Linked DNA regions of Drosophila melanogaster. The protein of the gene in region 1 interacts with the protein of each later gene in a pairwise test. Each region holds a gene or a part of one and is shown in the gene's direction. Other genes may lie near its edges. The genes, in order: Teh4, Agpat4, Prim2 and CG42288.

The links.
Region 2: the proteins of Teh4 (region 1) and Agpat4 interact in a two-hybrid assay, tested with the Drosophila melanogaster proteins (one large-scale study listed by BioGRID).
Region 3: the proteins of Teh4 (region 1) and Prim2 interact in a two-hybrid assay, tested with the Drosophila melanogaster proteins (one large-scale study listed by BioGRID).
Region 4: the proteins of Teh4 (region 1) and CG42288 interact in a two-hybrid assay, tested with the Drosophila melanogaster proteins (one large-scale study listed by BioGRID).

What each region holds. Positions count from the first base shown.
Region 1 is NT_037436.4:4,172,498-4,181,699, reverse strand, and holds Teh4 (tipE homolog 4), read left to right. Parts: upstream 1-3,429; 5' UTR 3,430-4,056; coding exon 4,057-4,202; intron 4,203-4,269; coding exon 4,270-4,480; intron 4,481-4,765; coding exon 4,766-4,850; intron 4,851-4,914; coding exon 4,915-5,117; intron 5,118-5,181; coding exon 5,182-5,348; intron 5,349-5,401; coding exon 5,402-5,696; intron 5,697-5,772; coding exon 5,773-5,910; intron 5,911-5,981; coding exon 5,982-6,311; 3' UTR 6,312-6,841; downstream 6,842-9,202. Other genes in the region: Teh2 (tipE homolog 2), read left to right, coding at 1-175, 250-445, 499-672, 733-969, 1,345-1,402; CG18675 (uncharacterized protein), read right to left, coding at 6,858-6,974, 7,037-7,306, 7,373-7,747; Ero1L (endoplasmic reticulum oxidoreductin-1-like), read right to left, coding at 8,311-8,362, 8,424-8,732, 8,790-9,202.
Region 2 is NT_037436.4:16,377,075-16,385,566, reverse strand, and holds Agpat4 (1-Acylglycerol-3-phosphate O-acyltransferase 4), read left to right. Parts: upstream 1-3,996; 5' UTR 3,997-4,269; intron 4,270-4,385; exon of another isoform or gene 4,386-4,438; intron 4,439-4,924; exon of another isoform or gene 4,925-4,929; 5' UTR 4,930-4,930; coding exon 4,931-5,096; intron 5,097-5,331; coding exon 5,332-5,867; intron 5,868-5,939; coding exon 5,940-6,297; intron 6,298-6,357; coding exon 6,358-6,440; 3' UTR 6,441-6,593; downstream 6,594-8,492. Other genes in the region: Agpat3 (1-Acylglycerol-3-phosphate O-acyltransferase 3), read left to right, coding at 113-139, 1,454-1,640, 1,701-2,236, 2,828-3,185, 3,410-3,495; roq (roquin), read left to right, coding at 8,330-8,491.
Region 3 is NT_037436.4:20,357,473-20,364,827, reverse strand, and holds Prim2 (DNA primase subunit 2), read left to right. Parts: upstream 1-3,242; 5' UTR 3,243-3,320; coding exon 3,321-4,922; 3' UTR 4,923-4,995; downstream 4,996-7,355. Other genes in the region: Toll-9, read left to right, coding at 1-162, 266-487, 703-2,321, 2,392-2,519, 2,581-2,788; CG5665 (uncharacterized protein), read right to left, coding at 5,008-5,739, 5,792-6,051, 6,121-6,316; kin17, read right to left, coding at 6,687-6,887, 6,960-7,355. UniProt on the Drosophila melanogaster protein: Regulatory subunit of the DNA primase complex and component of the DNA polymerase alpha complex (also known as the alpha DNA polymerase-primase complex) which play an essential role in the initiation of DNA synthesis.
Region 4 is NT_033778.4:14,087,705-14,094,262, forward strand, and holds CG42288 (uncharacterized protein), read left to right. Parts: upstream 1-3,326; 5' UTR 3,327-3,404; coding exon 3,405-3,671; intron 3,672-3,743; coding exon 3,744-3,867; intron 3,868-3,931; coding exon 3,932-4,023; 3' UTR 4,024-4,110; downstream 4,111-6,558. Other genes in the region: prosap, read right to left, coding at 4,289-4,456; CG42287 (uncharacterized protein), read left to right, coding at 2,672-2,893, 2,953-3,088, 3,152-3,231.

The sequences.
Region 1 (9,202 bases):
CGTTGCGGCTCGGCGGGATCGGGATGCGGATCCGCATCCGGTTCGATGCGCTCCGCCTGCCAATCACCGGTGCGGCCGGGGAGCGGATGCGTGGACGCCATCAAGGCCAAGCGCGAGGAGATCGAGATGGACACGCTGCTCGAGAAGGCAAAGTTCTATACCTCCGTGTGCCTTGGTAAGATTACGAATGGCTGTTGCTAATTGACTTCTTGAATATCCTATCTAACTCACATTCTTCAAAATCACCAGGTACGACTGCCATTTTGTCGGTGTTCACATTCCTCTTCCTGATACCCTTCGTCGTGGATCCCGCCATCTCAACGATCATAGCCGACTATGATCCAGTGCCGGTGACCTGCATCGTCATCGACCATATCTACGCGGAGGGCATCAAGAATTGCAGCTGGAGCTCCTGCCGCGAGGGCTGCACATCATCACTCACCAAGTGGGTATCGATATGCCTGATTATATCTACATACTAACTCCTCTTATGTCCAGGTGCCATCAGTTGTTTGTCAACTATACGCGCATCCCGTTCAGCGAATGGGAGCGCAATCCTCGGGACCTAGACACGGTCAACTGGGATGTGAGCTACACCAAGTTTCTGATCAACTCAGAGGGTTGTGGCTATCCGCCCACGACCAATTGCAGTATATTTGCCAGGCAATATGGGTGAGTTCGCATATGAATAGTAGCCATGACAACGAGAGTCCTAACCCTAATCCTTGCCAGGTTTTCACACATCGGAGAGCCCTTCCCCTGCTTCTACAGCAGGGCGTATCCGGAGGTGGTCATCGGTCGGTACTCGTGGGAGAACAATCTGTACCACCTAATCCTTTCGCTGATCATACCGAACGTGCTCTTTGCCATCTCGATCGGGGTGCTCAGCTATTGGTACTGCCCCTGCTGCGAGAAGGCGTGCAACAAATCCTCGCGGGTCTACGCCGAGAAGTTCCCGACCAAGGAAGAGTGAGTGCTATTCCGTACCAGCTGTCCCGCATCTTGTTCTCATTCATTGCGAAAAGTTTGGCAAATTTGAATTCCCCGTATTCGTATTCGTATCTGTATATTGTAGTAGACACTCACTCAGATCCATGGACCATGTACTCATTGTGCCTTGTATGAAGATATTGTCGAGAACCAAAAAAAAATTCCGTTTTGTCATGCTGTATCCTCCTCCTATGATTGTAACGTCTTCATTTTGTTAATTGTTAAGAAATTGGCCAGATCCATAAGTCGAACCATGAATGTAACTCTTAGTTTTCCAGTTTATTTACTTCCCAAAAGCCTTTGTATTCTATTAGCTTTTGTTATCTTCTCTTTACTACTCTATATTACTTTCAGGATCGTTAACTGCATGAAATGTAACACGGAAAAGTCGTTGTCCTTGAATGTATTTTGAATATGAACTAAAGCGCGAGTGCCCGACCTTTGATCCCCAGAAATGTATTGTGATAGGTTAAGTGCGATGGTATTTGCTATAATCCCTGGATCCCTCGATCCAGATATCTTGCACATATTGTGTGGCACCCAGTCCTAGCTAGTCCACTGAAAAAAAAAAAACACCCGCATCTATTTGAAGCCCAATACAAATTGTTACTCTGAAGTGTCCTTAGCAATTACTGCCTTTCTTAATATTTCCAATAGTAGTCTTGTTTTCTTTATCGCACAAAAACAAAACACCATTCGAAAGGAATTTTAAACACACGATCACTCAAAAAAAAAAGAAGATATACAATCAAAAATCACAAGAAATATACTCAAAATATTAAAGGTCTAGGCTCAAGCAATACAGATAAAAACAAAAGGTTTCTTTCAGGCTAAAACAAAATTTAGTTAACACTCGGGATCGCAGCATTTCCCTTTTTTCTATAATCAATAATGATATAATAACATATCGAATACCCTCAAGTTTTAACGATCTTATATTAGAATGCCTTTAGAAAATGTTTTGCATGCTTTTCTTTTGATCTTTAATGAATGTTTGTTAATTTCGAAACTAGCTAGAATGGCATGATCCGTTTATCCCAATCTATTTAGCATAATATATATACCGCTTATATCTGACTAGCATTGATTAAGAAATCTGTTCCAATCGCATTCCAATTCTAGCAAACTTCTGTGTCACAGTGACGAAGATGATGATATGGAATACTAGCAAAAATAATATTAGTTAACGCCCTTAACAAATAGCAAATTCAACTTTGTAGTCTGTACCACACATAGCTTACCTAGATATATATATATATATACAAGCATATAGAATTCCATTTGCCATCACATCGGACGATATATACATATATATATAAATCAAGCGGAGCATCGCCGAAGGAGTCACTTTTTCTCAGCCAATTTATTAAACATTTGTGCGCTCAAGAGATTTGTTAACATACACTTTGCCATCATATTGTTATGCTAGTTATATGGAAATTTGGTTGCTTCAATGGCTTTTTTGGAGGCGGCAGCGATGCTCCAATCTCGACTTCGATTTTCACAGAGATAATACCAATACCAATTAATGAGTCGCTTGTTTTCAACAAATTGTGATAGTAGTCATAAAAATATTAAGTAAATTCGTAAAACTAACTAAAACGGAAGCGAAAACCAAAGAAACCAATCAAACAAACAATTGTATAGAACCGAATCCGCTCCAGGCCGCTCCAAAACACGGCGAAGATTCATAAAAACGGGGCGGTACGAACTCCAAAACGAAATAAACCCAGAAAGATAGATTAACCACAAAATACCAGATACAATCCATTGGGGATAAGCAGCGGAACCAAATTATTCACTCACACACGCTCACATTGGGACACTCTCAACATTTTTGAAATAGTTTTAACGATCTTATGTAAAAACCAACATCTAAACGGATTATAACAGTATATATATAAACTTATATATATATATAGATATATACGTATACATATAGCTTAGCAGAACCGATATAACGCACGTTGCTTATGAGAATTTTTTAAATCATACAAACCAAACCGAAGAACAAACCAATTTGAATGCAAAACGATTAAAATTTTTTACTTAACGTGTCTTTATCAATAAACAAATTAAACCAGCTAACGGCCTATTTAATAAACAATTCAAAAATGAAAGAAACCAAAACAAATGTGGAGAAATGCTAAACAAAACCCAAAGCTGTTTTCATTTACGAAATTTGGGGAGAGAGTAGCGCAAAACGAGGACAAATGAGGTGGAGGGCATCCTCTCCAGGCGCAGGCGTGCTTCCCAGGATCCGGAACCGTTTGTTGAGCTGGCTCCATCCCTGTCCCGGTTTTTTTCCATTTCACTCAAGGGCTTGTTTTGGCCTGGGCCCCACCACTTTCGCTTTCGCTTTCGAAAAAGTAAAAGTGCGCAGTGTCCTTTGGCAGTCCTGGCTATCCACACTCCTTCCGCTCCGGGATTCAGTCAGGACTCTGTTGCCGTCGGGAGTGGACGTGCGAAAATCGGCCAAATAGGCGACTTCAAGCCATCAGAACGCATCCATCAAACATTTATTGCGTTTATGCGATGCACTTTTCACGCACTGCGTTTCATGAAAAGTGTCAACACGCGTGTGCATAAACGAAAACAAACGTTCCAATGAAATGCGTGAAAGGGTGAGTCGCAACCCTGGAAGCTCCGAGTGATTTAGGTGGCAACTCCGTCCGCAAATGAAGAACAAATTGAACAAGTCGTTAACTGGTTGAATCTCGCCTTGTCGGCGTTTGAACATAAGACGTCCCAGATTCCCACCTGACATTCCACATATCGCTAACCCACCCCACACGTCCGAGTAATTTTAAATTCCAATGAGCCAAGCTAAATAAAATAGAACGGCACAAGCCACAAACACACCCACCACCACCCCAAACAAACCACCCACCCACCCGAGCAACCACCACCCACCAAACCCAAAAGGAATCACCTTGAGAACGGCGTAGGGTGACAATACATAGGTGGAGCAGGGCCGGAAGTGGGCCACCAAATCAACAAGTCGTAAATTAGCCGAGCACTAGGTACTACTGAACCCACACCCAGGAACCACTACCAGGTGGATAAATGGGGCGGCGCAAGGACAAACCGCGGGTGATTCCCGAACAGGATGCGCGCATCTGTCGCGCCATCTGCCTGTGCCAGCTGACCATGGTGCTGTCCTGCGTGTCCATCGTCTACCTAAGCGTGGCCATCTACTCGCCCTCCCTAAAGTGGGTACCTACTTTATAGCCCCCCTCTAAAACCCATAACCCACTCATAACTTGGTATTGTTTCTAGGGCCTTCAAGTCCGGCTTCGAGCTGGATCCCGTCATGTGCCAGACGGTGGATCGCCAGATGCCCAACAACTGCCCCTGGGCATCCTGCGGCGAGTGGTGCCTGACCAAGACCAGTGGCTTTTGCCCCCAGATCCACTCAATAGTGCGTCGCAACGGCACCGATATCCAGCTGAACAACTGCACCAGAGTCACCAACACATCGTGCGCCATGGTAAGTTTATAGCATTTCCCTTAGGTGAAAGGTTCCTAAGCAACAACTGGTTAACTTTTGTGACCAACTGTAGCACTGCCTTAAACTGAGCAAACTAGTAGAAGACGTCATCGTCTTGGGCATCCTGCTATAGGAAAAGTTCTGCCATGACTCATTCTTTGCTTTTGGTGGAAAGACGATGAAGCGTGTCAAGTATTTGCCCCTCCATTTTAATAGCCACTTGGCGCCACGAGAGTTTAACGATCAACAAATGACCATTATCCTTCTTTTGTTCTCTCCCCACAGATTGACCTGAGTCGGCTGAACAAGTTCAATTGCAACAACGGCACCGCCTGCAACAATATCAGAGGCGTCTTCAACTGCTCCAATGGTAAGTTCCATACTGGAGACCCCCTATGTGAATTTTCAATTACTGATTGCTTTTCACCTTGCAGGACACTGCAAGAATATGTCGGAGTTCTTCTTGTGTCACCACAAAGCCGATGGACTTACGGTCAATTCGCAGAAGGATAACACCAAGCTGAATGGATTCTTCGAGTGTCACGGGGTGCACTGCACCAAGATCAAGAAGCCCTTCAGCTGCGATCGCTACTGTTCCAAGATAACAACTACCAATGTGAACACCCTTATTATGCACGTAAGCTGGAAATAAGGATAAAAATAACTATATAAAATGGAAGTAAAATCCATAATACTTTTAGGAGGATAATCTTATTGCCGCCGATTGTGAGAACGCAGTGGCTTTCAACCAAGCCCGAGGATCCGAGCACGGTGTGCGTATCGAACCCTTTGAGTTTTGGAAAGAGGATGATGGCAACCTGCTGACCAACTGCGCCACAGTCACAAGAGAGTCGGACAATCGCATCACGTAAGTCTAAAAGCATCGAAAAAGATTTTGCCTACAATCTGTTATTCCAAAAGTGCCACGGACTGCATAAATGGAACCCTCCTGGAACATGACACCTTGCCCGCTCCCTTCATGAACTTCACCCAGTTTTGGGCCATCTATGAGAACAGCACCAGGTCGGTGGATCCCGAGCAGAGGTACCTGCCCAACCAGGCCAACCTGACCATCTACAGCTGGAAGAAACTGTTCATCAACCTGGAGGGCTGCGTGAACACACTGCGTGGGGAGTGCAAGGACTTTGTGGCTCGCTATGGCAACGATGGCGATAACAACACCGCCCAGTCACGCTACCAGTGCTACTATAACAAGGTTTGTGGGGGATTAAACTCCATTTGAATTCCAGTTCTGGTATCAGTTTACCTGACGTTTCTATTACCTCTCACAGGACTCGAATGTGGAGTTTGTGGTTGCACGCTACGATTTGGACAAGGTTTACAGGGAGCTTCTAGTCTCGCTGATTGTGCCCATTGTGCTCTTTGTGATCTCATCTATATCGTTATGTATCATCACCAAATCCGTCAAGGTGGGTGGCTTACTTCGAGAAGAAATCAGATGAATTGATCTTACTATATAATACTTCTATCTTTTTTTCAGGTGGGTGACGATGCCAAGATGCGCTGTGTTTGTGCCGGCGATGATTCAGATAATGATGGCCCCTTTGGCCCAGGACTAGCAAACAAGCAGCAGGATCAGATGTACGATACAGACGACGATGTAGTTGACCTGGAGCACCAAGCGGTGGATGGTCAAGAACTATCGGACCACGGACTTCCGCTGGACAACCAAGAGCTAATCGGTAGCACCAAGTCGTTGATACCAATCAGTCCCGTCGGAGAATCCGGAACTAGTGATCAAATCTTTGACCAGGATCAGGAGAAAGCAACTACGTGCGATGTTCCCGAGAAACCACTAGTCATACTATAAGCGGATTAACCGCATCGAAAGAAGGATACAAAACAGCACCAAACTTTAAGGACCTGTGCATTGTACAAGGGGAACTGAATTTAAATTCTAATCAGCGCATTTATACAACGTTTACAACAACTAACAGATTAATGAAACGGATCTTTACTTTGCTTGGTTGAAAAATGATAATCACACATATATAAATACTGGACATATAGCTCCCAGATGAACAACGATGGGATGGCCGAGCTTTATATACCCGATCCCCACTCTAACCGTTGCAGCAGATGGGCCTTAGACATAGTTGCATTTATATAGAGTATATAGCATAAACCAACTGACATCTGCTGAACGAAACCAAAGAAGAAAACACCAGGACAGACCAAGGATATAGGCATCCGACTCGCCTTAACTCTCGACTTTGTAGCTATGCAATATTCAGCGATTTCTTAAACTAGTTTAACCGGTGGAGCAATAGTACCTACTTATATCTGATATACTTATACTCGAATTATAGCAAATAAAACACCATTTGGAATTCTCTCTACAAAGCAAAGGTCCTACCTTGAGTTCCTCCTGGCGGCGATAGGCCTCGGCCATCATCTGGCGACGCAAGGGATCGGAGATCACGGCTTCGCGTCCCGGTGGTCCTTCACCAATTTGATTTAGCTTCACGACCACCTGGTTAAGTATTAGGATGGGTTATGAAGGAAATATATTTAGGATATCAAAGGGACAGTTACCTTGGTTTTGTCGTTGTGACCCAAATAGTCGCTCATTAGCTTCCCCATCAGCATCTGGTGTCCTGCAAACCAGAACTGAGCCTTGGACGGTTCGATGACCTCCTTGGAGGCCTGGGTGCCAGTCAGATCCTCGGTATTGGTGAACTCCATGCGTATGGAGTCGTGGGGCGGCAATTGCATGGGATATACAATAGTGACACCACCACGCAGGAGGTTCAACGCCTCCTCAACGATCTTTGGGGTCAAGGTCTTTGAGGATTTAGCTAAGCGCTAGAGGGAATGTTGGTAACCATTTAGCAAAAACAGTTCTAGGGATAAACTTCGAGGAGACATTACCCGATCCACCATAGCCTTGGCGTCGTTCATGGCACCTGCCAGGACCTTTTGCATCGCCTCAGTTGGCTGCTGTCCGTTACGGCGAAGGAGCGGATCCTTGTTGATAGTGAAACCACCAGACGGGATGCACTTATCCGCCCAGACATCCTTAAGCTTGAGCTCTTCCCTCTGTTCCTCGTTGAGGCCAATCATTTCAGGCGGCACCATGGTGCCATGTTCGGCCAGCTCCTCAATCTCCATGCAGACACGCTGAATCTTCAGTTGACCATTGTGCAGAGCCACAAGCTCGCGAAGCACAGTATCAGTCTTCTCCTTAACGCTTGTCTCATAGAGGAAGATAAGCTCGTCTCCGCGTTTCACCTGAAGAAGCACCATTTCGCACAGAAAATATAGTCACAAGAGCAATCAAGTGTCGATCGACTGGATAGCAATTTGCTAATGTCACAAAAGCCGACAGCTGGAATGGCAAACAACTCGGTTGCTAGGACCCGTATCGATGGAGACGTTAGAGAGGGTGTTTCAAAACAGACAGAAGTTTATTTTAGCGCCTTGTGTCGTAAGGTCTTGGTATTGCACAATGCGTTTACTTGCTCATTAAGTTCCGCTCACAAACTCCTCCAGATACAATAAATACTATGCTAACTTACAATAAACACCTGCATCCTGCATGGGTTATTTTTTTGTCATTTGGTTTTTTTTAGGGTGATACGGTGCGCTAAAGTACAAGTAGCCTAGGGTAATAGTTTGTATGTACAGGGAAGCAGCTATCCTGGGGTTACTAGCCTCTGGCCTCAAAAATGTTACGAACTATGGGAGGGAAACCGCATTCAGTAGGAAGTCCAAGACGCAGCCCCAGCGATGTGCGTATGAATTAACTAGCTGCTCATGTGAGGCGAATGAGATCCGGCTCGTCGCTCGGTTAGTCCAGTCTGGATGGGTTACCTCAGCACGCACCGGAAATTCTCCATCTCGTATATACTGTTGGATAGTCTGCAAGCAAGTGTATAGATGTAAGTATTTTAGAAATGCCATTTTATCATTTAAAACGCACCTGCCAAACGCATTAAATAGAGCTACAATCTCTGTTCGCGACAGCCTGAAGATGGGATCCGCTTCGATGTGCGGCTTGTCCCACAACCCGCTTTCCGTGGCCAGATTGAGCTTCTCTGAGTAGAGAATCTTTAAAGCAGTACCCAATCCCTGCGTCTGCAGCTTCCCCCACAGTTTGCACTTGTCGCAGCCTACGCAGCTCATGATGCGGGATATGTTTCGGAACTTTTCCTTATAGTCGTGCTTGAACTTAATAGAAGCGATTCCATTACTGAAGAGGGCGTTCTCGTCGAAGTGGGATTGAAAATTTCTACAAAAAGAAGCTAAATTGAAACATTGTAAGAAAAAAGAATATTCCTATACTCACTCTATGACACTCAACATATCATTGATGGCTAGTTTAACCTCATCATCCTCCTCTGCGATGCCCGTGTAGTAATCTTCTCGCCGCAGATAAGGAGCAGCCTTAGCCAAGGCGCGCAGTTCTATCAGATAGATGAAGTAGAGGTTTCGCAGCCAGTGCGGACCTTCACCGCTTGTGGTTTCTGGACTAAAGCGTCGTTTAAACTCCTTTACGTTGGGACCCCAGATGCCCTGCGGATCTAAGAAGTCCTTTGACTCTGACAGCAGGTATTTGGAGCACAGATGAATGTTGATACTAGAGTGCAGGCCAGAAATAATGCGATAAAAGGCACGCTGCTCCAAGCACACATTTCGCAAATCCAAATGAGGCACGTAGTTAGAGAACTTGTTAGCCGTCTCGTTGTTGCCACCGAAGCA
Region 2 (8,492 bases), about 12 Mb from region 1:
AAATGTTAACCACGTCACGCCACCCCACGCCTCTCCCAAACACACACACTCGCACACGTGCGCCAGCTGAGCACATGCATACGTATATGCATGCTCACACGCACACAATCGCATGGTCGTGCACAAGAACTCTTTTGTTGTATGTAAAGTGGACGATCGAAAAAGTAAACTAATTCAATACAATGGGTTCAGCAATCAACGTCGGGGTCACCAATTGAGTGCATCAAAAATACAATCAATTCGGCCCGGCGAATTTTCGGTTGATTCAGCTAATGGCGGTGTGCATAAGAAATGGCATGAAAAGTACTCCTTTTTTCATTGGATTTAAATCCCATTATCATAGGAAGAAATAAGAAATTTAAAAAAAGCAGTGCTTGTCAACTGAATGCATTCATTTCTATTACAAAAACGTAGTGCGTTCCATTGTGCATGTAAATATATGCAGTCCCAGTTTTATATTACGTGTCAAAACAAAAGATTGACCTTTATCATTGGTCGTTTTACAACCATTGTTTATAACTTTGTAGAAATACAAATAAAAACTTCTTTGATAAACTTTATCCGCTGACATGTTTTAAATCATAATTTAAGTAAATCATGATCATTTAAATAATAATCTCAATATATAATACCTATTACTTTAGTTTATTTAAAATCCGAAAATCGTTTCGAAACTTATTTAAATTTGCTTAAATTGAAATATCTAAAATATCCGAAGCCAAGTATTATTTAATAAGAAATATGAATAGCTAAACGCCTTAATGAAATGATTTAATTAGTTTAAAGTTTTAAAGTTGTCGTTTTTACTCATAATTAAAACGGTCGTAAAACTTTAGTACTTTTTTAAAACATCTCCATGTACAAAATGTAAAAAATGACACCTAACTGTCATCAATTTTTTGCTAAACTGTTTGCACACTTTGGTCCCCATAAACCCACTCATTCTAAAGATTATTGACTTTCGCGAGCTTCCACTGTGAAGTGCGAGTATCTGCCCCATAATGACTATCCGTCGGACAGGCGGACTTTGTCCACAGCGGCTGTAGCTATTTCCAACGGAGAAGTCATCGATTGGCCAAGGCTGATTAGATTCCTCCTCCGGCAGCGGCCTTAGCAAAAGCTATAGCCTATAGGGCTATGGGCTATAGCTCCCGCTGATATCTGGCGAATATCTCTGCCGTGCGGCGGTTGCCCCAGTCCATTGCCAGCTGGTGGTGCAGGTGGTTGCCTTCCCGGATTTCACGATTTCTTTTAACTTGGCCGCGTGCTTTTAATTGAAGAAAACGCAGCTCTTGTGTGAGTGCGGGACCTTGTGTAGTGGTCATAAACTAGGTGTTCCACCGTTGGGACCATAAAGTGCGGGTTTACGAGCACTACCGGGAGAACAACCTACAATTAAAGTAGTGATTACGTAAAGACAGCCGTTTTATTGGTTAAACATCGCTATTTGCAGATCAAAATGGGTTCCCTGGAGAAGCTGAAACAATTGAGACTGATACACCTGTGCATCGCGCTCACCTTCTTTACCAGCGGGCTGTGCATCAACTTTATCCAGCTGCTGATGCACGTCTTTATCAAGCCCATAGACAAGCGACTCTTCCGCAAGTTGATGTACTATGCCTGCTATTCGCTTTACTCCCGTGAGTATATCCTGACCAGTTCCGATTCGAAGTAGAAACATAATACCTCCAATCCCTTAGAACTTATCTTCGTGTCCGATTGGTATGCCGGCAGCAAGATGACTGTCTACATGGACAAGGAGGACTTCGAGAAGCATGCCGGCAAGGAACACGTCCTTCTGATCATGAACCATAAATACGAGATCGATTGGCTCAACGGCTGGATGATCTGCGAAAAGTTGGGCGTGCTGGGCAACTGCAAGGCCTATGCGAAGAAGGCAATCCGCTACGTGCCCATCATCGGCTGGGGCTGGTGGCTGGCCGAGTTCGTCTTCCTCAATCGAAACTTCGACCAGGACAAGACCATCATCACCGAACAGCTCAAGGTGGTCTTCTCCTATCCCGATCCCACCTGGCTTTTGCTCAACGCCGAGGGCACTCGCTTCACTCCCGCCAAGCACGAGGCATCCGTAAAATTCGCCCAGGAGAGGGGCATGACGGTGCTGAAGCACCATTTGATCCCGCGCACCAAGGGATTCACCGCCAGCTTGGCACCCATCCGCGGTCTCTGTCCGGTAATCTACGACATTAATCTAGCGTACAGGCCCACAGATAAGGTAATTATAACGGCAAACTTCAAGCACTTCATTTAAGTGCTTTAGTTATATAATACTGTATTTTATTGTGCCATACATTTAATGCAGAATTCTGCATGGCAAAGCTTCTCATGTATATTTTTGATAAGGCTAATCAGCCTGTTCGACAATACCTGTCTGATTGCTTTGGTCTAATCAAATTTCTTTTCGTTTAATCCGATTATTTTGCTCATTTACTTCACTGCCTCTTTTAAGAGTCACGATTTCTTAAGATCGATGCTCTTAAAGATACCGATTAGAATGAGCAAACATTTCAAGGTTAATCAAGTGGTAATTTTTATAACTTATTTTCCTTATTTTGGTTTATTTTCCTTACCTTTGACGTGTCATCAGTATTATTAGCACTTTAGCCAGCATAGCAACCTTAATTTTTTAACTGAGTAATTTGGCGTTCTAATGATAAGTGCATAGAATTTAGCAAATTGCAAATTTATTATGGTTTTAAATTAAACTCGCAGAAGTGAGTTATAAAAGATGCTTATAAAGATACTACAGTTTTAGCTACTAAAAGGCTATTTACCGGACTTAATTAACTTGCAATTGAACTTTCAGACCCCCGCCACAATGCTGAGTTTGCTGCATGGAAAGAGCGTGGAACCGCACCTGCTGATGAGGCGTATTCCACTGGAACAGGTTCCGGAGGATGAGAAGGAGGCGGCCGCCTGGCTGCAGAACCTGTTCGTGGAGAAGGACAAGATCATCGATAGCTTCCTGGAGACGGGCAGCTTCTTTAAGACGTCCGGCATAAAGGAGGTTCCGGCATATGTGAATAAACGCCGGCTGTGCTCACTCGTGAACTTTGTCTGCTGGGCGGTATTCTCTCTGTCCTGCATTTTCTACTACGTGATCACATCCCTGCTGGCGGCCAACTGGACGGCCTTTATCACCGCACTTTCCGTCCTGGGACTTTGTAAGTTTGGGGTTCGATCTTTAAGGAGGATGGCACTTTAGACGGCATTAGCCGTTCATTCTTTAAGTTTTAAGAACTTTTTGGAGTGTTAAATGCTAAAGTTCATATATAATGACGTCTGCATGGTTATAACAATAATATAAGCCGCGTTCTAATGTGTTCCTACTCCCTCCAAAACCTTAACTTTTGTAAATCTTATTAATATTCTTTTTTTCTTGTTACAGTTTACTGGCTCATGGGTCAGGCCATCAACAAGACGCAGATCAGCAAGGCATCTAATTATGGATCCTCCAAGTCGGTCGCAAAGTAACTTTCGAATTCGCATTTAGTTTCGATTGTCGTCGAACTCAATTATCTACAAATGACTTTGTAAAAGGCAGTCCTCTCACAAATCTCTCTGCTAAATGGATCAATTCGTGATTCCTATCCGGACGATTTAAAGTGTTTTGCATGTTTTTCTTGTCTAAGTTTATAGTTACGAAGTAACTCCCGCACACTGGAGCCATCAATTTGCGTACGTAGTTGGTAGTTGTACACCTAAGTGGAAATTTAATTGTTTGATCAATTGTATTTTGGCGAGCATTGCAATAATTAAATTAAACAGAACGTGAGAGCGTGAGTTTGTTGTTGTTGTTTTTTGATAAGGCGTAAGGTAAGCAGTGCGCTGATAAGGGCTGCTGATAAGTGTGGACATGCAAGCAGTGCACCTAAAGAGTGACCTTAACACAAAATACCAACAGTATTTCTAAACTGGATACTTGAAAATTACACACATACGTGTGTAAAATAAATGTAAAATTTCGAATACATTGTTTTTGAGATTCCCAGAAATGCTTTCAAAAGTTACCTTTTGAACAGGAAGGAAATGAGCAATAAGCAAAGCATATTATCCAAATATTTGTGTTTATCAGCATTCTTCCTACACGTTCGTTTCTTTATCAGTTGTAACGATCAGAAGCAGCACACGTTCCGTTAGTTCGACTGCTTGCCCTTGGCTATATGATCAATACAACCACACGCCAAGCATAAAATCGCCTTTATTCGCCGATAAGCAGTGTCGCCCATTCCAATTGACTGATAACAGGTGATTAAAAGTGTTAGTTGTGGGTTTCTGGGTTGTACTATCGACGAGATCCATATCACTAGGGGCTCGGGCCGCCTAGAAGAGTCACTTTCATTCAGTCGAATTCTACTGGTTGGTAGAACAAGTTGCAACTTCCTGGTCTCTAATTGTTAAGATTCCGCTTAGATAGGTGAGTGAGTGTGTGTGTAAATGAGAAAGTGGACTGTCGCAAAGTGAAACTGAAACGTGTTGAGTTCAAAAACTAGTTGTACTTATGGCATTGTCATTATCATTGCTTCTACCAAATTTGATAAAACAAAATGAGGATTGTACAGCTTAGTTCGATTTTCCTCGTCGAACTATGCAATAAAAAATATCTTAGTTAATTATGAAATGCGTTGTACTGTTTTCCCGATCCAACGATAAGAATTCAAATTACTAGTGTCTACTGTACCAATACCGTGTGTTGCGCGTGGGTGTGTGTGCGTTTACGGTACTATAATTTAAGCATTTCAATTTTCATGACACATTGGGAGCAAAGTTTGAGTACTGGCCATATAATAAAATGTCGATATCGCGCGCTGGACATATTTATGAACTGCATTGCAGACATGACTTTCGATTACGTAAACGTTTCTCCAACGGACTGAATTTATTGAGTTGCGTCTATTCTTAGCCTAGGATGTCGCATCTCCGGGGTTTGGGGCGACTGCTGATCGCCGTGACCTTCTTCACATGCGGATTCTTCGTCAACATTGGCCAGCTCCTGCTGATTCTCCTCGTGAGGCCCTTCGATAAGAAGCTATCCCGCAGTCTGGCCTACTACCTGCACTACTCCTTCTATTGCAGTAAGTAACCATCATATTAATATAGATTATCATATCATTATGAGTATAAACGTTTCACATTTCATTCACATTAAGTATAGTGTAGTTTTCAGCACACTTCCTGTTTTCCTGATTAGATTAGGTATATGCAAGGTCTTCTTTTGTATAAATCACTTAGTTTTTACATTTGATGATTAAATGAAATAACGTAAAAGTGGTACTTTTTGATAATTTAAAAACTATCCTCACACTTTAGTCCTTGTCTGTGTGGCGGAATGGTATGCGGGCAGCAAGCTGAGGGTGTACATCGATCCCCAGGACGAGCAGAAGTTCTTCGGCAAGGAGCATGGACTGCTCCTGATGAACCACACGTACGAGATCGACTGGCTGACCGCCTGGATGATCACCGACAAGCTGGGCAATCTGGGAGGCACCAAGGCGTATGCCAAGAAGATGCTGCGCTATGTTCCGGTCCTGGGATGGGTCTGGTGGATGGCCGAGTTCATCTTCCTTGACCGCAACTTCGAGAAGGACAAGGTGGTGATCAAGACGCAGCTGAAGGAGGTCTTCTCCTATCCGGATCCCGTGTGGCTACTGCTGAACGCGGAGGGCACCCGTTTCACACCCGCCAAACACGAGCTGTCAGTCAAGTTCGCCGAGGAGCGAGGTCTTCCCCTCCTCAAGCACCATCTGATTCCGCGCACTAAGGGATTCACGACCAGTCTGCCCACCATGCGTGGCATCTGTCCTGCCATCTACGACATCAATCTGGCCTTCAAGAAGAATGCCGAGGTGAGAACTTAAGATCTCATATATATGTATATATATTTTAAATTACATTTTCGAACTTGAATTAACTTACAGCCAAAGCCCACCATGCTGTCCCAGTTGAACGGAGAGCCCGTGGAACCGTACATGTACATTCGCCGAGTGCCACTGGACGTGGTTCCCGATGACGAGAAGGAGGCCGCCGCCTGGATGCAGGACTTCTTTGCGGAAAAGGACAAGATCATCGACAGCTTCCACGAGACCGGCAGCTTCTTTAAGAATTCCGGAGTCAAGGAGGTGCCCGAGAAAATCTACAAGCCGCGCCTGAGCACGCTCCTCAACTTCTTGGGCTGGGCCACCTTTGCCGTCCTGTGCATTCTGCACTACTTGGTCACCTCGCTGGTTGCCGGCAACTGGTTTGGCTTCATCACGGTTCTTTCCATTTTGGGAGGATGTAAGTTGAGAAATTCTAGTTTCGAGGATATGTGCTTAACTTTACAACTTGTACTTCCAGTCTATAGCCTCATGGAATACGCTGTGAATGCTTCGAAGATCAGCAAAGCCTCTGCGTATGGAGCAGCTGCTGCCAAGAAATAGATTTTCATACCTGAGTTTTATAAACTCTGCAACAGTTTTGGAATATACGACCTATGGACTAATAACTCAACTGCACTGACCATAGAAATATTATGTACATTGAATATGTACGATAAACCATTGTAGTTAACTGAATAAAATAACATTTTATGCGAAATTCACTTACAGGAACTAAATGATTCTTAGAGGCAAATATTTAATATGTGTTTGTACATCCAATCGAAAAAATTTCTCACAAATTCACTTACAAGAACTAAAAGTTTCTTTGAGGCAAATATTTAATGTGTTTGTACATTAAATCGAAAAGATTTCTCAGTCTTCTACCACTTATATAAACGTCGTAGTTACAAAGTTTAAACTTCTTGTACTTTTGTTTTTCTAATTAGAACATGTGTTGTATATTTTAGCCATTTATACAATAAATGCTATAAAATTAGGTTATCGAATTTCAAATATAGATAGTGATGTCCAAAACGATAACTGCTTATCGCAATCAGCTGAGAGCGCCTAGTGCGACCCTTCGTGTAAGCAGTGCAGCAAGACATTCAACGTTTTCAGCCAGCTGGATTCAGTATTCCGCCGCTCGTCACCTGCGGTCATACTGATTGCAACTTCCCAAATTTCTTACAATAATCCAATGAAAATTAAAAAACATATTTTCGTACCTTTAATGCAATAATATGTGCATTTTGAAGGTGAGTCAGTGCAGCACCAGTGCCAAAAATTGCATTAAACCAAGTTTGTGCGAAATCCACGAAGCAGAGTGAAAAGTGAAACGTAACGAAAAAAACGTTGAGAGAGATTTTCGTGTAGTTCATTGTTTTTCCTGGGGGATTACTTGGTTTCAAGGACCTTTCACTGGCCTGTGGCCCTACTTTTCGAAGGTGCCATTCCTTGGGTTGGCACAACCTATAGGATACTGCCCGAAATTCCCTTTGTTCGCGTCTCGAAAGAAAGCGGATGCTTGATGACGTTGAAAGCGAGTTACGTTTGTGTCCCCCATAAAGGCAGTTATGCGTGTGTGTGTGAGTGGCTCTCTCTCTCTGGGGTCTCAAAAGGAATATTAGCGATCCTTTGAGCACTTGAAGATCCGAAAAAGTTCTCCAGGAAGTGCAACTGGGGTATAAAAATATATAGTTGCTATATATACATACAGATATACTTGCATGCGTGTACAAATGCCCTCGCACACAAACAGCAGCAGACGAGTGTGCGTGTGTGTCTGTGTGGGGGGAGCACGCGAGTGTGTGCGTGTGGCGACAGCTGACGTTGGGGGTAAGGCAAGAAGAAGAAAAAGACGAAAGCGAAACTTTTTACTGTGCCACTTTTGATCGTTGTAAAAGGAAAATAAGACTATCTTGAGTCACGTCACTTTCATCGTTACATCAATTCGATAATAACGAGCATATTTTATGGGATATTAGATCTTTACACGATTTACCCTTTTATAGATCGATAATTTAAGTATTTATAGGTGGGCTCTATACAGATCTTATTGTGATAGATTCCATTAAGACTTATAGATGTAGGCTGCCACAAGTCTGTTTCAAATATTATACTTCATTCTCAGAAAAAACTAATGTTTTCCATAAAGTTAAATCTGATAAGGATATACATAAATTGAATTACCCATAGAGCATATGTGTGAACATTTGTAGCATGATTTCTTTACCCAAGATAAGAAACATTACTCATTCATGCTATGAAATTTTAAAGGCAGTATTACTTCCGCCATTCCTACAATATATATGAATAGAATATGTTTAACAAGCCTGATTCGGGTAATTTGTTCCGATTTCAATATCACCAAGATTCCATTAAAATAAGATTTTCCTTACCTTTTGGCTTATTTTATTTTAATTGGTATTTTTATGTAATTTACGCACAGCATGCCGATTCAGGCTCCCTCATGGACAGATTTTCTGAACTGTCCCATCTGCTGCAATGAATTCGCGGCCAGCCAGCGATGTCCGGTCAGTCTGGGCTGCGGGCACACCATCTGCAAGCTATGCCTGACGACCCTCTACAACCGGCAGTGTCCCTTCGATCAGG
Region 3 (7,355 bases), about 16 Mb from region 1:
AACTTTCGAGGAAGGTTACCATTTGGAGGACAGAAGTCTTCTCGGCCGCATTCAATACGTTGACTGCAGCTCCGTTCAGGACGCTCTACTCCATGAGGGAATCCTTGAAGCTTTTATCGCTGCGAGGAAATAACTTTGCTGAACTGATTCCAGATGCTGAAGGTAAGCTTGGCCGGGTTAGATCATTGACCATTTAGTCAGTTGTGGGAACCGGAAACGCAATGGCACACGTATTCTGATGTCCAGTTACCATTCGCCGTTTCAGACTTTGCTCGATTTGTAAACGAGTCCCGCTTGGAGGCTAGTAACTCGGTACCACACCATTGTGAACTACTACTTTTACACAATACCACCGATCTGTATGATCGGGAATGCTATCTATACTTTAACAACAACACAAACATGGGACAATCAATCACAACCGGTAGAAACTATACGAACTTTATTAAGGTCTTAAAAGATCGGTTCGATCAGCACGGAAGTTCATGTAAGATCTCAACGCAAACACAATTACACAGCAAAGACGTTTTCCTAAAAGTCCTCATGCCACATTTAATCACAACTTGATATCCGTCATTTCCATATTCCTGGTTTCATATCTGTTAAAAGGTTCTAACTATGTAACTTAAGGAGGAAGGGTTTAATTTTTAAATATCATGCCATAAATACTTCTAACACGTGAATTCCTTATCTGTTTCCCAGCCCAATCTATAGCCTGGGCCACTTTTCCAAAGATGCCCCGACTTGTGGAGCTGGACATCAGCAACTGCAGCATCGAGTACGTGAGCAAGGAGGCGTTCCGGAATGTCAGCAATCTGCGGAGGCTCTTCATGTCGGACAACAAGATCATGACGATAAGCCACGACACTTTCTACTACGTCCAGGGAGTGCAGTATCTCGACCTGTCCTTCACTAACTTCCTGACCTATAGCTACCAACTGCAGTTGCCCACTCTGGAAATGGCCTTAAGCCTGATATACGGCCTGAAGATCCAGCAGAACGTGTTCAAATATCTGCCGGAACTGATTTACCTGGACCTCTCCCACTCGAAAATGACCAGGAATAGTGCGGTGGCTTTTGCCCATCTGGGGGATAAGCTGAAGTTCCTCAGTCTGTGCTACACTGCCATTCCCATGGTGAGCAGTACCATCTTCAAGAATACGGTTCTGGAGGGCCTCGACTTGTCCGGAAACCCCTACCTATCCTACAACATCATCGACGACGCCTTCGATGGCATCGCTAACACTCTGAAGTATTTGTACTTCGAGCGATCGAATATTAAGGATTTAGAGTGGTCCAAGTCGTTGAAGAACCTTCAGGTGTTGGGCCTCGCGGGTAACAACATCAACGCTCTCACTCCCGCCATGTTTCAGTCTCTGGAGTCCCTGGAGATCCTCGACTTGAGCTCGAACCATGTGGGCAATTGGTACCGCAGTGCCTTCCACAACAACTCCGCCCTAAGGGTTTTGAACCTGAGAAGCAACACCATCAACATGCTGTCCAACGAGATGTTGAAGGACTTTGAGCGATTGGATTACCTTAGTCTCGGGGACAACGACTTTATTTGCGACTGCCATTTGAGAGCGGTGGTGGAGGTGGCGGCCGCCAATAATAAAGATGCAGACTGCTCCTATAGACTGCTGAACTATAGTCAGAATGCCGTAGGTGAGGAGGTAATATCTCTGGCGGAGTCACTAATTATAGATCGCAAGCTATGGCAGAGTCGCTATATTCCCTGGCTGCAGAGAAGTTACTCCAACATCAGGGAGTTCAATCGCGCGAATCATATAATCAAGCTGCGCTTCTCCTCCGAGGACTACATGGTAGCCAAGTGCTCCGCGGCCCAGCCATACCACTTAGGGGACCTTGACGGAGATCTTACCCTAAAATTTCAGCTGCTCGACTACGAGGCCAGTCAGTATTACTGCTTCAACAACACCGATCAGCTCCAGGTGGATGAGCTCAACTGCCAGATCAGGTCGATGAGTGACCTCGCCGAGGAGTTGCACCACGTTACGAACACAGTGATCGCAGTCATGGGCAGCTTAGTTGGCGCTTGCATCCTGGGATTTATAATTTATCTGAAGCGCTGGCACATCCACTACTATTACTCTTCCCTGAAGTCCGCTGCCTTGTTGTCCAGTGCGTCCAAGGAGTCGGTGAATAAATTCACAAACATATCCCAGAGAGATCCCAGTGCCGTCTACGATATCTTCATCAGCTACTGCCAGAATGATCGGACCTGGGTGCTCAATGAACTGCTGCCGAACGTGGAGGAAACTGGGGATGTGTCCATTTGTCTGCATGAAAGAGATTTTCAGGTGAAGCGTACTTATCTTACAACATTAACTTACTAATAAAGTGAAACCTTAACCCTTAATTCACATGCAGATTGGAGTGACCATCCTAGATAACATCATCTCCTGCATGGATCGCTCGTATTCCCTTATGCTGATCATATCCTCCAAGTTCCTGTTGAGTCATTGGTGTCAATTTGAAATGTATTTGGCACAGCATCGGTAAGGAATCTTTATCTGTAAAATTCAAATATTAAAATCAATATATGTGTGTATATTGTAGCATCTTTGAGGTCAGCAAGGAGCACTTGATCCTGGTTTTTCTGGAGGACATTCCACGGCGAAAGCGACCCAAGACTTTGCAATATCTCATGGATGTGAAAACGTATATAAAGTGGCCGACGGCCAAGGAGGATCGAAAGCTGTTTTGGAAACGTCTGAAGAGATCCCTGGAGGTCATAGGGATCAACTCCAGAGAGATCAGTGTTTAGAAAACATGTAATTTTATCCGGAGAGTTCTAGTCAGTTGTGCACGTACCTGATATAGTATATAAACTACTTAATTACACTTTCATGAAGACGAAAGTTTCCCCACAGTAATCATAGTAATATGCAAAATTTGCTGCTGAACATAAGTATAGTTTAAACATATATTAATAAATAAAGGTATTTAGGTTTTTAAGAGCTTATGTGATGTTTTTGAAATATCTTAACAAAGGCAATAGCGTCGTATATTAAACATAACCTACTACTACTGGACACTATGTAAACAAAGCTAAGGCCTAAGAAATATCTAACAATGCAACACACAATCAATACATCAGTACCAATTGACTGATAATAACAATTAAAAACGTTTAATTTTGAAATACAAATTGAATAAACCGCAAGCATCGATAATGAGCAGAAAACTATCGATAACAACTGACACAGCTGATATTTGCCATCAGTAGTTTGCGCGCCAAAACAACAAACGGGCATTCCACAAATTGTAAATTACTATAGCAATTCCCGCGACTCACAATGGAGTTTGGTCTGAAGAAACGCGCGAGACATGAGGTGAAGGTGGAGGTGGCCAGCCTGGAAACCAAGTACCCGCACAACGTCATGCTGTACCACTATCCGCCGACGGAGGACGTGCACATAGACGAATTCGAGGAGCTGGCTCTAGAGCGCTTGCGCCTTCTCCGCGTCCTGGATCGCGCAAGCACCCGGAACCTGCGCGTGCTCTCAGATGAATGGAAGGAAATCGTGAGTGCGGACCTGACCCGCGAGGGATTGCGCAGCTATTTAAGGCTCTGCTCCACCGGCGGAAGCGCCAAGCACGAGGCGGATATCCAGACCCGCAGGCGGGACTATCTTTCGCACTTCATCTTGCGGCTGGCCTACTGCCGCTCCGAGGACCTTGCGCGCTGGTTCGTGGCCCGCGAAATGGAGCTCTTCCGGTACAAATTCGCTGCACTTAGCAGCTTCGAGGTGAAGCAGTTCCTTGAGGCCAACGGCTTTGAGATTCACCCCCTCACCGAGGCCCAGAAGGACGAAGTCAAGGACGGCCTGTACGAGAGCACGGTCGGACAGAGCGTGGCGAAGATCGAGCTGTTGGACTTCTACAAGGTGCCCTTCACCCAGGTGCTCGATCTGGTGCGCGGACGTCGCTGCTTTTTAAAGGCTGGCTACGCCTATGTTAACACCCACGACCTGGTGTCCCTAGTGGGCACCAAGCAGCAGGACGAGATCGAGCAAGGCCTGCAGGCTGCTAAGACTATGGTGGAGGATGTAGAAGCCGACGAGCGCATCTCCCGCACACTTAAAGCTCTACATAACTCGTATACCGGTAGGGATTACACCGTTTGTCGGGATGCAGCTGTGCCCATCGAGTCGCTCGATCAGCTCTCCAAGACCTCCATGCCGTTGTGTATGCGCATGTGCCACGAGCACATTCGTGCCAACCATCACATAAAACATAGCGGCCGAATGCAATACGGCCTGTTTCTCAAAGGAATTGGCGTGGCACTGGAGGATTCGCTGCGCTTCTGGCGCGAAGAGTTTACCAAGAAAATGGACGCGGATAAGTTTACACGCAGCTACGAGTACAATATTTACCATAACTACGGAAAGAAGGGTTCCATGGTCAACTACACACCCTACTCGTGCGCCAAGATTATCAAGGATGTGGCGGGGCCGGGCGATTGCCACGGCTGTCCGTATAAGAACATGGATCAGGGCTCGTTGAAAACCAAGCTGTCCTCCTATGGCCTGTCAGCCAGTGCCATCGACGAGGTGATGTTCTTTGTGTCCCGCGGTCACTATCAAATTGGATGCGGCAAGTACTTCCAACTTACCCACAATTCACCCGTCGAGCCGAGCATCAATCACCCCAACAACTACTTCGAGGAGAGCCAGATAGCGATGGGCAACCGGCAGAAGCGCGCCAATGGTTCTGCTCCGCCCAAGGCCAGAATCCGTCCAGATATCAAGGGCCATGGGGATCGGTCCATGCTGATGGGTGACGATGACGATGAGTTGTGGCGAATCGCGGAAACCCAGGAGCGTATCATGCAGAGCCAAAAGGACATATCCGAGGCCTTCAATGATGATCTAGATCTTACGCAAATCGATTACTAAACGTTGTACAACATAAATTAACTAAGGTACATATATATTTAAGCATCGTAAATAAGAAAAGTTATATTATTCCATGGTTCGGACTTCACCTCCGGCACAAGTAGCACGTTTTAAGCCTAGGATCAACAGTGTTCTCCGAGTTTCGGCCGTAAGGGGGCCAGCCATTGACATCTACGTAGTAGATGCCCCTGGCTTGGGGATTCATTCGATAGCCCATCGGGGAAACTATGCCAGCAGAACAATCCCGTTTTCTTAGCTCATCCCAAGAAGCGCACTTCTTGCCCATAAAGTTCTTCTCTTGGTGTGGATATGCACTCTCGGCGAAATACTCAACGGCTCGGGTATGAGAGCATCCGATGGTTAGGCAGCCTGGCTGGATGGGATGTGCTCCGCCGGGATAGAAGTCCACATCACCGAGGGGTCCACGCTTGGCCAAAATACCAATGTTGGTGTGGATTATGTCCACTAGCTTGGCATCGCCACGCGTCAATCCTGGCAGAATCTTTTCCCGCCTGAAACATGGCTTGGCCGGATCCAAGCCAGTTATCCTGGGTATAAGTTTTCCGGTAAGCTTCTTAAAAGTCCGACCAGCAGTGCCCATAATGTGAGCTCCTAGTGAATGTCCTACAAAGAAATCAGAACCAGAATTTATGGACACAAAGGATTCCTTTATGAACCCACCAATCAAGTGAATATTTCGAAGTGGGGTCAGCTCTATAAGGTGGGTCAGACCAACTCCAATATGCTCTCCAATTAAATCCGTGTTCAGCGCCGACCACGCGTAGAAGGTGTCCACATAGTCAGCCGCATCTACAATCTGAGATGGAAGCCTTAGATATGAACTTTCAGAATTGATTCACGAGACGAACCACAAAATTCACATCGCCACGACACATGAATGCCTTAGAGATCATCGAAATGGCCGAGGATTCGTTTACGGTGTTGGTCCATCCGGTGGCCAGAATTACCACCTTACGTCCCTTGCTGAATCGAGAGTGCTTCCACAGCTTCGAGGCCTCCAGCAGGGGCACACTGTAGTTCTGGCACGGCGTCATGTACTGAAAATGCATCTTCCTTATGTCCGGAGTGATTTGCGCAGGGATTCTGTCCATAAAGAGGGTGGAAGAACCTGGCATTTAGATCACAATAAAATCAAATAACTTTTTATATGTTGATAAACACAGGACGTTATCCTTACACACAGCATCAATTATGTTGGAAGCCAATTCAAGTGGAGCAGCTGTGAGTATGTTCGCCTTAATGGTGGCGATGTCAGTTAAAAGTCTAGGCACTGCATCCCACCAGCTTCGCGTCAACCTTCCCTCTTCGTCAACAGCTATATCTCCCAATGCTCCGAGGCGTAATAGGATAACAATGCCACACAGAATCCTCATATCCCTTCTTTAGCACACCGATGCTGGAACTAGTTTAAGTTTTGCAAGTATAGAAATTATCGCTAGTAAAGCGGCCATTGTTCGCTGGTTTTATTGTTCCCAAACTGAACTCGAAAATATTGTTTGCATACCCACTGAAATATTCGTACACTGAGTAAATGAGAGTGTTCTAGTTATTTTCATTAAAAAGTCATGTTTTATTAACCCAAATGCTGAGCAGTCCAAATTTAAGTAACGAACGTATTATGTGCAGATTTTTGTCTAGTTCGATTTCAGCCTTTCTCCGAAATGGTTAAGATTTTTTACTTACATATATATCAAATTAGGCATAAAAAGGTACAACTATAGAATTTAACTTAGAAAAGCGCAGCTAGGCGCCATGTAGTTTAGATATATCTTCGTATTGCACGTTGTCTACAATTCTGCCTTTGAGAGGACCGTGCAATATTTCCACGCTGACTGAATATCTGCGCTCGTCCAGTTTCCTTAGCAGAGCCTCGGATCCCCGATAAGCGCCATTAACCACCATGACAGGCTTGTCCAAAGCGGGGATTACCGTCTCCAAATGAGCCTGGAAAACAAAAAAAAATAAAAACACCTGGGTAAATATCCGTTATAGATTAAAATTGGGTTTCCATCTTACTTGATCCACTTTTAGCTTTTCCCCAGTCTCCAAGAACTTGATTTTGCCCTGATATCTGTCAATTACGTCCAGGACAACCGCTTTTTGTTTGAAGAACTTTTCGCCCATGGATTTGGAAATAAATTTGACCACGATACCCTTGTGCAGCCAGTAGTCCTTGCGGTTGGCACGCTCCTTTTTGCTTTCCTCCTGCTTGATGATCTCGTCCAGCACCGACCGCGTTTGGCTGTCTCCAGCCACGGATTTGGGTTTCTTGAACACCTTTTCTTCAGCTTCAGGGGCAGGTCGCTTGGCTAGAGCGGATTTCCCTAGCACAGTGTCAGGCTGGAACTTTTTCTCAAGGCGAATATCAAGCTTGAGTGGTTCGTTCTCTTCGCGCTTTAGCTCGGTGAACTT
Region 4 (6,558 bases), on another chromosome or scaffold:
GCACACATATACGCTTTCGCTGACCACATTCGCTCACTTGGCTAAAAGCAATTCTTTCGCCTTTTTTTTTTTTGCCTCGTGCACTTCGGGTTATCCTGTCTGTCTGGCTGACTGCCTATCCTTCCTTTTTGGAAAGTTAAGAGCCTTCGATTTGAAATCCCCTTTGAAACGAGCTCAGTTCTTGGCTGATTTATTGTGCGAATTTGCGCGCACTTTATCCAACTTGCTTAAAGTTTTAGTTATGCCAAAGTTTTGCAAATAAAATTTAAGATAAACTTTGTGTAAGTCTTGACTACGCCCTATACTTAAGGTAGGTATTTGAAGTACTTTGAAGTATATTAAACAAGTATTTATGGATGTGCTTCTTAAACTCAAGATAATTATAGAACAGTTGGAATATTTTCAATTACCATTACATGTGGCTCACTTATCGTAATTCCATTCAAAACGTTCCCTACACGTATTTTCCATTGCCACCTTAGACCACAAAAAAAAATAAAATGAGCCACCGAGTAGTCCATATGCGGCTAAGCTTTCCTTACTGGTTTCTTATCGCCACGAGCCAAAGTTGTTTATTAACCAACCTGAACTTCGGGCCAAACAAAGCCCGTTGAATATTACACGCAAAACGACTTAGACACAACAAACCGGTAAGTAACGCCCACCCAGAAATTGAAGAAAAATCCATTGAATACAGATCAGAGAAGCTTTAATTTCGTTTTGATTAGCAGGCGGAAGTTGAGATGCCAGTGGGGCTAACACTCAACGGCGAACTGTAGCAGCGACATATTGGCGAAGTGACTGATTGTCCGACTGACTGACTGACAGACAGACAGATTGACTGATTGATGGTGTGAAGTTTCACTGAAGCTTGGCATGAGCAGCGCGGATCGGTCATTGAAAGCGAATTCCTCACCAGACCCAATAATACATTTATGGAACCCGACGCCATCGTCAGGTGTCCCGATAATGGGCGACGACGACCGATAAAATGGGAAATTATACAGGCACTCTCGTTTGTCTCTTCGGGATTTACTCAACCATTCCTCAGTTATCGAAGGCTCACAAATGGTTGAGCAAAAAGTGCAAAGAAAGAGGCCTCAATTGGAGTGCAAATATTTGTGCGATGATAGCATGAATTGTATTCTTTATGACGGTCTATATAGGGTTCTATGTTCGGTCGCAAGAGAAACCATGCGATAAGATATGCGGCCAGTTTACTGATTGATATACGACTGTGGGGAAGCAGGAAATTTGTTGGTAACCTGCTATGCTTTCAGGTGGAATAAGTAAAGGGAATATGCTAGATTTCCCAAACCAATGGATTAAGTTATTCCAATGATGTCATATTCTTTAGTTTGCAGCATGAACAACTTAATTAGCCCTTGCTATCTTTCAACAAAACACAAACAACATGCTTCCATAAACTTTAATCGCAATTCACATTGCATGCTTATGTAACTCAGGATATTATTCCCCACAAACAAATATCCCCAAAAAATGGTTAAAGCACGCTCAGCTTTCGGTTCCCACACAACCGATCAGAATTTACAACATAATTTACTAAGCTGCACGCTGACAGTGGAACCAGAGCGGCCACGCCCCCTTGCCAAAAAGCCAAAAACAAGGCAATGTCTGTCACTTGACGCGCTGAATTTGAATTGGCCGAAACGAAAACGGAACCGGCACGAAAGACCCGGCCATGCAATTAGCTGGAGGTCATTGTGTTCGGTTCAGCGAAGTTCATTTCAGTTCAGTTCAGTTCAGTTCGATTCGAATCGATACCAGTGTGATTTCAAATCCAGTTCGGTTTCAGTTTGGGTATCGCCCAGAGTTTCCGTTTGCAATTTTGCGGTTTCAATATTGAATTGGGCGAGGCCCCCGCATTGCATTTACGCTTGACAATGTTTCGACAGCAATTTGCTCAACAAATTGCGATTAAATGTATACAATTGATTGACCATTGTTTGGCTTTCATTAGCACAAAGGAGCGGGGAAGTGCCTTTCATTCGGTGAGTAATTTGACGGCATTATAAGGGCAAATAACCGCTGATCTTGACCCCCTGACCACGCATTTACTCATATTTCAAACTAAGTAACATATGTGAATATGTTAACACGTAGTTCTCCTAATCTGTTGGCCATTGAAAAACTAACCTTCCTTGTGACTGACACTTTTTTTTTGCCTCCCCTTGACAGACTGCCATTCAATTGTCAAATATCTTTGGATCTGCAGCGTCACGATTTCCAACTGGGCGCACGACCTCAGACATTGCAGTTGCCGATAAATTGCATTGAACTTCAAAAATTGAAACTTCACGAGGGCCATTTGGCAGCCATTCGAGGGCGGCTGAGGGGGCGTGGTCGTTTTTATGTTGTAAGGGCACGTGTCAGCCTTTGGCTGCATAAAAATTTCAATCAACAACATCTGTTGAAAAATTGCATTGCGATTCCACAGTAATTGGTTTTTTGTGTGATTCAATGCAAAATGCATTTAGTTTGATTGTGAATTTGTGTCTTTTAAGGATTTTGATCCTTAATCTTAGTGCAAGATTATTATTGATTCAAATATTAAATAACTAACGCAAAAATTTTACGATCAACTGTTCCTTGCATTCTGTTGTTTTGGGCGAAATTCATGTAAAAAAAAATCACAAATTTCTGTAGCGGCATGTTTTTTAAAAAGTGCTGCTTTTTCCTGCCCCTCAACGTGGGTTGCATAATCATTGGAGCCATCTTCATAACATTTCACGTTGGGGAGCTGATAACGCATTCGGATGACACCATTTTCATCAAGCAAGTGTCCCACAAATGGTGGGCACCCGTCATCATGTCTCCGATCCTGACAATTGGAACTCTGAGCTCTATACTCCTTGTGTATGCTGCTTCGAAGGTAAGAGATTCAATTGGTTTCTTTCAAGATTCTAATGCTTTATAACATTACAAATGCAGAGCAAGCGAGGCTTTGTCCTTATGTGGATTATCATCTATGCAATTATACTATCCCTATATTTCCTAATGGCCGTTGTCCAGTTGGCCAGGTCGAAACCTTCGCCGATTATATTGGCCGTTCAGGTGTTCATCATAGGTGGGTGTTGGCCATTTTTGATTGAATATGTCTGAATAATGTCTTGATTTTCATACCCCCTAGTTGGTCTCGTTTATTCCCTGCTAATAGTGCTGGCTTTTTATCGATATTTGAGCAGTGTGGATTCTGACGATTCAATTTGATGAGTTGTAAAATAAATGTTAAACTAACGTGTAACTGAATTTAACTGATCTAGTTTACTTCTTTCAGTGTGTCCCTTTTATACAAACTAGATTTTCAACAAATTTCAGTTTCTCAGGAAAGCTTTGAAAATTGTTGTTTAAAACTTGCAGTGCGGCTGAGGATCGGATCAATCATGGCCTGTCGCTGCAAATATCTGAAGCAGATCTTTACCAAGTGCTGCTACTGCTATTCCCTGCGTTTCGGTGTGCTGCTCTTCGGATGCATTTTTCTAACCTGGTTCATTTACATCACCATCGGCACCGGCTTCATGATGGAGTGCATCTTTCCGAACGAGTATCAGAGGTCCCTTATCCCAGCACCGGCGGCCCTCAAGGCCACCATGGTCTTCTCCTTCTTCGGCATCATAGTTTCGGCCATGCTCTGCCTGGGAGTGCACAATGTATGTGATCTGTCTATTATAAATATTCCCAATATATTTAGCATATGCTTATAATACCTCATAATTTTGTAGAACAACGAGATGCTCTTCCTGCCATTTTTGGTTTTCACACCCATTTGGATAATTGTGCACATTTTTGCCCTGACCGTTTACAGCTTTAATACCATCATCATCATCCTGACTGTCATCACAATGTGTGGGTACCCCCAATAATCATGAATCTAAAGCCTAAATTAAGTATACTATTTAATGTTTTATAGTACTTTTAGTGTATGCCTGGCTGGTGGTTTGGTCCTACTACATAGAACTGCTCTTCGCCTACGAAGATGAACTGGAAACCGGTTATGTGTAATAATAGTAATAATAATGATATTTACAAATTTTAGTATGTTGAGCAAGCATTTGATGTGCCTAATAAAATAATGCATGTAGGATACAGAAATACAGATCATAATTTCGCTTGAGCAGAACTCCATACTATGTGAAGTAGACCCCATTTCGGATGTACATATTTCTCCCCGTTTAGTGAGTATTTAGCGCACATGAGACATGCCCGTGCTCTATATACACCGAAAAGACAATGGGTATCGCAGTGGTAATGACAGTGACCGACTTACCTTCGGCAGCGAGGCGAGCACCTGCTGCTTGACATCCCAAACGAGCCGCTCCGATGGGAACTGCAGACACTTGTAGACATTCAGCTCCGGCACATGGATGCGCACCAGTAGCCATCCGTCCCGCGGCTCCGGCGGCGGCTCATCGTCAAACGCACCCGACCCGGACATGGCGTCCGTATTGGCCGGGTTCTGTTTGACTTTGGGCGTGGGTGGGTGGTATGTCGTAATTTTGACGGCTTTCTATCGCACGGTCCACGAAAAAAAAACGAAGCTACTCCCGCTCCACTGGGAGATCTCCTTCTAGCCGTTCTATTCGCTTAATTTGCTCTTTCCTTATTTGGTTGCACTTCAAAGTGATTTGCCTTTGGGCGTGATGAGCTACTAAGTTAATTTATCTAACTTTTTATTGCCAATCTATTTGGCTTTCTTTTACGGCCTTCTGCTGTTGGAATCCGTTTTGTTTGGACATTTCGCTGTGCTGCGTTCGTTGAGTCTGGCGCATGATGGTTCTGAAATGAATCAAATTAGAGGTATAAGAATAAAATATATTATAATGTATAATATTTCCTTTCCGAATCATAATGCATTACCCAATGAAGCTATTAATTTTCACTCCACTTTCATATGCACTAAATATTTTCGCATAAATTTAGTACACATATGCAAATTGCAATCCATTAAAAGCCTGCTCAAGTCCAGACAACAACATAAAATAGTTTCCCCAGCACTTAATTTTTAAATTGGTTTACTTTTCGAAACTGTCCACTGCACTTTTCCTACGCACTTGATGATATCAGTCAGACGGCAATTGGCCCGATTTTCCGAGCCCCTTTTCATGTCTGCAGGCCTATCTAATAGGAAAAACAAATTGTCAGAGTGAAAAGAAAACACTTGGGCTGCCGCAAACATTTCTCGTTGATGATTACAATTTGATATTGACATTTTATGGCTGCAGCACTGCAATGGCAGTTGCAATTGCAATTATGCACAAATTAAATTCACACGCTAGCTGGAAAGGAGGAGGTGCCACACGGTGGGTGGAGGATTGGAGGCATGTAAATGTGTGCCAAAGACCCGCTGACAGTTGTCGCTTTTGTGTTGGGGAGGAGGAAGGGGGGGGGGGGCGGAAAATGGAGCGGAAAAGCGGGCGGAGCGGGACATGTCGAGGCAACTGGAACTGTGGGCGGAACGGGTTAGCCACCAACTGCAGCAACAACCACATCTGCAAGTCTGCACTTTGTCGCATTTAATTGCGAGCGTGTTGATTGCATTCAACTAGTTAGAGTTGGCATTTCGAAAGGGCGGGGGACGGAGATGGCGGGAAATGGGGGAAAACTAGTGTAAAATGGAAATCGCTTGCGGGAAATGATAAATCCTAATTGAGGATAAAAGTTGTGGGTGCTCTGTCTGAAAGATGAAAGGTTTTGCAGTCAAAGGTTGTGACAAAATGAAAGGCTTTAGAAAAAGGTGGAAAAAAGGAAAGCATTTAAAAGTGCTTGTAAAATCCCAAATAAGAAGACTTTACTCGTTGAGTTTTTGTAAGAAACTGATTTTATTTGGAAATATCTTCGGTTTAAATAGGTGACATGAGAATCGCATCTTAAAGTAAATGGCCTACGCAGAGGCCTAAGTAAATAGTCCCCGCCTTATCGAGGTCCCACGCTCGGGCACATCTGCCTATCTTGAGCGGCGAGGACCTTATCTGTGGTCTCCCACTAAGGGACTATTTTAGGAGGCGGGGAACGATCTCAAGTGACTGACTCATGTAGTGTGCACTTAAATTACATGTTTTTGAGCAATGCACCCATGTCGCCTTAGATAACAAAATCCTAAATATAATTTATCGCTCTCGATTCATTTACATAAGATATGAACGGAGCCCAAAATTGTAAGTCTTTAAATATATTCGTGTTCATGTGTGAACATTCTGCCAAAGGGCCAGCAAGCTGAGATGTACATTAGTATATTAGTTGCATTTATAACAGTAGTGGACTGTATTTATTTGATATATGTTCATTTATTTTGCAACTAAGATTTCAATGGGCCTAGTTTTTCTGGCTTTTAATTTTATTGGATTACAATTATGGTTTATATTATTTTTAATTCAACAATTTGTACTCAATTAACTTATTTTAAACATTTTGCTTTTTCTATGTAGAAGTACATTTTCTATTAAACAACGATATAGTGGACTGTATATTTTTATTTGTTATATTATTTTATTGTTTATTTACTATTGATATTTATAGTACTGGCAACGGACCTGCAAA